Neodiprion lecontei: one gene and its partner. The protein of the gene in region 2 interacts with the protein of the main gene of each other region in a pairwise test. Links are inferred from orthologs where the notes say so. Each region holds a gene or a part of one and is shown on either strand. Other genes may lie near its edges.

What was found.
Region 1: the proteins of follistatin-A (region 2) and thioredoxin-2 interact in binary tests that used the Homo sapiens proteins (3 or more experiments, as listed by UniProt). The link is inferred for Neodiprion lecontei from reciprocal best matches to the Homo sapiens genes FST and TXN.

The regions. Positions count from the first base shown.
Region 1 is NC_060262.1:7,925,234-7,928,990, forward strand, and holds the start of thioredoxin-2, read right to left. Parts: upstream 2,705-3,757; 5' UTR 2,537-2,704; coding exon 2,513-2,536; intron 1-2,512. UniProt on the Homo sapiens protein: Participates in various redox reactions through the reversible oxidation of its active center dithiol to a disulfide and catalyzes dithiol-disulfide exchange reactions.
Region 2 is NC_060260.1:38,652,798-38,656,554, reverse strand, and holds the start of follistatin-A, read right to left. Parts: upstream 2,730-3,757; 5' UTR 1-2,729. UniProt on the Homo sapiens protein: Multifunctional regulatory protein whose primary function is to antagonize members of the transforming growth factor beta (TGF-beta) superfamily including activin, myostatin, GDF11 or bone morphogenetic proteins (BMPs).

The DNA of each region.
Region 1 (3,757 bases), on a different chromosome or scaffold from region 2:
ACAACAAACTATCTCGTTGACCTGTACTTTGATTAACGCTATTCCAACAAGTCATTCTTGCGGTGTCGAAAACATTTAGTTCCCCGCAGTACATTCTCCTTACCTGACGTAATATGAATAGTATTGAATTGTATTCCATGAGATACAGATTATATTACCACGTAGTCAAGAAAATGCAATTTTTCGTGAACAAAGTATTTATACATTTCAACTTTCCTTGCCCAACATAACCGATTGACATGATCCGTAAGACAGGCGGAGAATATCAAGTAATTATTACGTTTCCATTGTATACTACACGGAGAAAGGATTTGTTGCCGTAAATTCAATAGGTCTTTTTATTTTTGAGTACATTTTTAAACCATGATTTAAAACACGAATTAAACAGTGAAACTTCCTGATAGCGGAAACCTATTTGGGGATGAAAGTATTGTCCGCTGATGACAACATCTGCTATTCGGAAGAATTTCCGTTCTATTACTATTACATTTTGCTGGAAATTTTTTTAAGAACATCCGTTATAAAGATGTGCCCGCTATTAATTAAGAGATGTTCGATACTTACTGTATGTAGAATATGGATACAAAATCGGTGTAACAGAATACGGTGACGCTGTAATCGCTTCAATCGTTGTTTCTTAACTCCTACATCTCCTTAATTAAGGAAGTTCCCTAGTCTATTTCGACATTATCGTATACATCTCAAATTATCCAAGTCCACGTATCTCAAACGTGAAAAAGGGCATAACAGCCCCATTCTACATACAGTTCTGAATAAAACCATTCTAAAATATTTTCATTTAACATAAAAATAAAGGAATGGTATGATTTCTACGATTTCTTCGATTTTGTAAAACCCGTGCCATTTGTATTGTGAAATGTATTCGAGTGTTTTTGTTCAGAATGGTGTATAGAATTGGGCTGTTAAGCTCTTTTTCGCGTTTGAAACACGTGGACTTCGATATTTGGAGATATATACGACAACGTCGAAATCGACTAAAGGGCACGTCCTTAAAAGGTGCATCAAATCACCGGGTCACGAGAAAAGTAAAGAACCAAACAAATCCGTGAGCCAATTCATGTTACAATTAGGGGTGCGCGGTATTTCGGTATACCGAATTTTTTTTGGCATCTCCTTGCTCGAAATGTATCGGTATGGGAACCTTCTGTCAATACCGATACCGAAATATCGAAAATTCGGTAAATAGCAAATAGTTACAATATATCTGGGCGAAAATTAGCTAACGCACACAATCGTCTTTCCGCTTTTTTGCAATCCGTCTGCACATATATCTAACATAGATTTCGTCATTGCGGTGATAAAGAAAGTATTTGAATTTATTTTCATCGTCATTTGTTACGTAAGTGAATATGACTCCTAATCTACCTACATTCCAAGTTATATCATCGAAGAGCTAGATTATGTTCATTAAAAATCAAGATTATCACAAGGTTGAAGTTCCTAAGGAAACAATAGGGAAAAAATCACTATTTTCTTATTTTTACAATGTCATGAAGTATGATTATGTTTTGTTTTATGACGGTTTTTCCTTCGCATGAATCGCATAAATCGTTACGATAACGTTACCAACTTCAACATGATAAATCAGCGACGCATCCAGTTCAGTTAATTAGAGAATCACGCCTGTTTTCATTCGTAATCGCAGCGACGGTTGTTTGCCGGTTATCAATAAAGTATTTCCGGCACATTGCATCGAGCATTGCGAACTACATAGTCGATAAACCTACATGTACTTAAGCCGACGAATTGCAGATTGCGTAGAGTGTACTGCATAAACTACGTACTCTAAGGACAAAAACGAATGTCCGAGCATAGTGTTGCATAATGAGAATCACATTTCTCGAATTCGTAATTATTTGGCTCGCGATTTCTGGTGTGATCAATATTGCAAAAGCAAGTGTGATACGGGCGGTCGAGGAGCGAAAGTCGAAGAGAAGGATAAAAGAGGCCGAAAAGAGGCGGCAAAAATGCCGAAGTTGTATGTGAGCCTGATGAGGCAATAGTGCGAAGAGGAGTGCCGACATTTTATCAAATGATATCGCTCAGATAGTTGGTCAATTATCAACAGATAAACAATTCGGATGCGTAAACGTGCTGTACTAATGCGTACTTAGGCTTTAAAGTTTCTACCTGTGTGCACTGAGAGCACACTCTACGAACGCGTTCAACCGAGTGTGATATTCTTTACAAATCGGCACAGTCTTAAAGATATAACGGTTATAACGCTGGACTTGGTTAACTTCGGGAATAAGACATACGTCCATCGGTCACTCTGCCAGCTACAACTAACACGCCACGCAGCAATTATTTCCTTCTCTATTTCTTATCAAGGTTATCCGCCCGCCTATTTCTTCACCAGCGTAATAATCTTTAGGTTAAACTTGTTCATCTGGTTAGTGTTCTCGTTCAACATGTCACTTGTATTCATTTTGTTTCTCACTCTCTCGCGTTCTTCCGATTTTTGACTTATTGTTAAAGGGAGTGGACTTACCGAGCTAGTAATTTGGAGAACCATTTTTAACGATGAACGAGTTGCTTTCCTGCGGCGTACTTCGCGATGCGGTCACTCGATTTGGTAACTTCGTACTAACTCGCGATATACAAGCACTGGAAGGCTGTACCTGAACTGCCCAGTTAAAAAGTGAACGCAAAACTTGGGGAGTGGAGACCAATGATCAAACGACGAATACCGCCACAGTATCGGTGACGCCACTGTCGCGGATACGACGTGGTAGTGGAAGGTGGCTCCGAAAATTCCCGAAGAAACCCGAACCGATAAATGGATTGTTATCAGTACAAAATCGATGTACAATACATTCGTGAAACATTCAGCGATTCCTGATCACTATTTCATACGGTGTCACTTCCGGCTTCATTATTTGGGATTGAACCTGCAGTGCCTTTCCTTCACACTCTCAATACACTTTCGTTTGATTATTATTTTTCATATGTGGAAGCGGGAACGTCATTGTGAATCATATAATGACCGAGGGACCGAATTGTTGCAATATCTTCCGGAAAAAATTTCCCTTCAAGTTAACCGATTATTCGAAACTTAGAATTCCGAATAATGCAGACTGTATATCTACAGGAAAGATGGAACAATCAAACTGAAAAGAATAAAAGAATTTCCGAATAATAATGCAATATTTTCATTTCTTAGGATTTGTATAATTCTTTGCCATAGAATCTGGAATGGATCGATCTTTCCGGATTATTGTGAACTTGGAACAGAGCATTTTGTGTGATTGCTCTGCGATATTGTTCAGAAATTTTGAATTTCACATTGTTGAATTTTTGTCGCGCGACGAAAGTATTGTCGAATTTTTCTATTCCTTCAAACATTCTTCGAATTCAGCTAAGACTGCTAGTTATTTTTTGTATCATGCAGGAATTGTTAATAATTGTTCCTCACGTACACAGCATGTATGATCTTGAAAATACCGTTACTTTATATCATTAAAATTTTTTACAAGTATCATTCAAAAGAAATATTTCTCATTTACATAAATTTATATAAACTTTTGGACTTTGATATCTTACGCATCACAAAATCTCCACAGTTATACCCCCTTAATTGATCAAGAATTTGAATATGTCGTTGTTTCTGATAAACGAATTAGCAATAGAACATATTTATTAGTTTCTCTAATTGCATTGCAAGATTCCTGAAAATAAGGAGAAAGTACATATTGGGAAAATAAATTTTTTTTTGATTCTCACATTTTCGGTAACT
Region 2 (3,757 bases):
GTAAAAATTAGTGGGCTCCGGCGTTGCTGCAGCTGCGGTACAAAGTTTGATACAAATACTCGGTTAACCATCGGTGCGGTATGTAATAAGGCGGTATTCGCGGCACGCCGAACATTTCTTGAGGCGGTTTTTCCTTTCCTTTTCCTTCAATGCCTCTTCCTCTTTTTCCCTCTCCTCCTCCACCTTTCTCTGATGCCTCCTCGCGTTCTTCTTTACGTTATTTTCTCTTCTGTTATTTTTATCTCCACCACGTATACCCGGTTTCTTGCTTCTTTTACGATTCACGTATTTTTATACGCCTTATTTCCACTGTACCTCCGTTTTTTTTTTTTTTTTTTTTATTTCTTATATTCTCCTTCTTTCTCTTTCACCTTTTCCTTTTCTTACGCCACTCGTTTCTCTCCTCTCTCATGAAACGCGCATACTCTTATTTACGCACACATACGCATACATGTATGCATGTGCGTTATACTGTATATAACGGGTATTTTTAGACACCGAACGGAATCTCCGCGGATGTTACACACTCGCGATAATTCACACTCTCCGGTTTATTACAATCCCGTCGCGACGTACAAACTTATCAACAAAACGCGCATTCTGCATTCCCGTCATACCGATCAAGCGGTTTATTCTCCCCGTCGAAATTCTATCGAACCCAGCGTAATCTCACGAGCAGCGTGACGTATCGATGTACCAATTATTTTACGTGGTTTAAATTTTCCCGCCAAATCTAGAATCCCGATGGCGCGCTGTTTAATGTTCAAACTCGACTCACGATCGGTACGTCAAATTTTTACTCGAACCAGTTTAACTCATTTTCTCTCAGTGTCAAAGATTTTTACGCACCACGTTTTTCAATTCACTTTGCACGGTGCATGAAAGTCGATTAATCTCACAGAGTATAACGATCCTCGTTGCGAGATTCGTTTCGCTGCATCAGTTGCCGTTGGTAATGATAAAACTTTAATCTTTGCGAGTCGTTTTCTTATTTCTTTTATTTTATTTATCTTGCCGTTTTTTTTTTTGTTTTGTTTTTGTTTGTTTTTTTTTTTTCTCTTTTCCTTTTACCGCGAACGAACGAAGATAACCTTTTATGAGCGTATACGCAATATATTTACGGGCGTTAATGAGAGTTAATGTCACTGCGGTATGTATGTAACGTACGTGTATAAAATAGTCGCACTAATACCATGATTAAGATTTCTCGTTCCAGCACCTTTTCTTTTCGTTCGTTTCACGTATTTTTTTTTTTTTTTTCTTCTCCTCTTTAATTATTTATTATGTTTTATTCTTTTTTTAAATTGCGAATGTATTTTTTCCTCGGCGTTCTCGAAACACACAGTTATACTCTCGTGTGAAATTTTTGGCAATCGCACGCACGGGACCAGTTATACGTAAAGTAGATTGAAGAAATCCGAGAGAAAAACAAACACCCCCCTTCCCCCCTCTCCGCAAATCTCGCCGCATGCGACGTTGCCTTTCGGCATCATTCTCATACGGACAATACAGTATCGTAGTTCGGTTGAAAATTAAATAAATAAACGAACAAGAACAAAACTGCGCAAGACGTTCGAACAAATTGACAAACGATTTTACATCCTCTTCCTTCTTCCGTTATCCCTTCCTTCCGCTCCGCAGACTCGTACTTTACAATAATTATTCTTCGTCTCGTTTCGTCTCGGGCTTGTTTTTGTTTGTTTGTTTTTTTTTTTTCTTCTCTCTCTTTTGCGATTGAAAAACAGATGAACGAACGAGAGAGAAAGAAACCAAAAAAAAAAAAAAAAAAAACAGCGTCAGAGATGAAAAAAAAGTTTCAAACAAATTCGAATCGCTTGTCCTTCCTTTCCTGTCCTCCTCCTCCTCCTCCTCCTCTTCCCTCTTTGATATCTCGGCGTTATCTCGCTGCAGGTACGAGCGTCGATTACGATATCCGCAGTCAGAAGTCCGCAAGTAGAGCCGCTCTTTTCAGTCTGCACCGTGATACGTCGGAGTCCACCGTGTTCTCCGAGTCTTAGGCGAACCCCGCGTGTCGTTTCGATGCGCGGGAGTGAACCCCCGCCTTCAGTTTGGAAGGGGGCACGGAGAGGGAAGATGATATTCGTGGTGGGGGGTGTCCGCGCCTCTCTCTCTTTTTCTCTCTCTCTCTCTCTCTCTCTCTCTCTCTCTCTCTCTCTCTCTCTCTCCCTCTCTTCTCTCTCCCAGTCACCGTTTAATCCAAATCCCTACGGGTGCAAAGAGAGTTAGCTCAGTGAGGGCGGGAACGTCGAACGATCCTTGTTAGTGGATATTTTTCGTCTGTTCCGATAAACAGTGACTCGAAACAGAAGGTAAAAAACGATAATTAAATATTCGAGGTAACTGAATTTTCGTGCGAAATGCGGTGCAAAAAAAAAAAAAAAAAATTGGTACAATATTTATTTATTTATTATTTTTTTTCTCGATTAAACCGCGGATCGACGATTAAACGTTCTTCTTTCTTTTTCTACAATTTTTCAGTCTCTCTCTCTCTCTCTCTCTCATTCTCTCTCCCAGTACACGATTTTTCGCTTTCTTCCCTGGGGGTGTTGGCGGTAGGGCAGGGCGAGGGGTGGAGATTCGGGGGAGCGGAAATCGCGAGGCGCAGGCCGCGGATCGAGCTCTCCCGATTAGAGGCGTGAAAATCGGCTTTTGTGTATAAGCAATTTATTAGTATGCCAGCGCGCGCGAGGCCGCCCGATAGACTGAGCTGGCGAACAGGCCGTCTGGCTCACTGGCCAAGCCGGAGAGCCGAGAGCCAGAGGCAGAATTGTAGTAGAGGAAGGAAGGCAGGCAGGCGGCAGGCGGAGCCGCGGTGGGCACAACACTTGCTTCGAGCAAAGCGGCGCGCCGGTTCCCTCCCGGGTTCCCGGTTCCACGTTCCCGGTTCCCCGCCGTCCCTTTTCGCCCCCCCCCCACCCCCGACCCCCGCCGCAATCGAAAATTGAAAATCACCCTCGGGAAACGCGGACGAAAACGGATCCTCTTATCACACTTCCGAAGCCCCCTCTTGATCCGTTCAATCCTCTGGCGAGTCTTTCATTCGTGCGTCGTAAGCTGCGATATAAATCCTCCAGTCTCGAATACCCCTCAAGCAATTGTTCGTTGACGATTGGCCGAAGAACAAGTTCACCTTTGATTTCACCAACTTTAACACCGTCACTGCGCAACGGGGCGGGGTGGGGTGGGGGTGTTGACTGGATAAAAATGACGTCATCGTTCCATTTCGGAAAGCGTTGGAAATTTTTCGAGTCGTATTGTATGCATGTTTCCTTCGTGTCTGGCGACTGATTTCGCTTTGTTGACGATTGATTATTATTTTTCTTTTACTTCTTTTTTTTTATCCTCTACTTTTATCGACGATTGCCTTTCGTTTCTGTAACGTGTGAGATTCGTCAGAGTTCGTTGACTCGGGTTTTAAGGTCGGAATATAATCGAGAGGTTGAATGGTCACCGAGATAGAGATTTCGGAGGTCTGATGACGTTTGTTTTTCACCCTGCGAGTTGATGTAATTTTAGATTTCGTTCGGTTACTGAGCATTTTGAGATACGATAATTGTGAACTGTGAACAGATACCGAGGATTGCAAAGAATGAAAGAAAACGAGAAGAGCAGGAAAGATTCGATTCGGTCATTATTCGATGTTCTTACGATCGCTTTTCGAGAATATTTTCTTGTACAGTTTCATTAAAAGACAATTGCACACGCGTCGTTGTATGCATTTAAAATCCCTGAATTT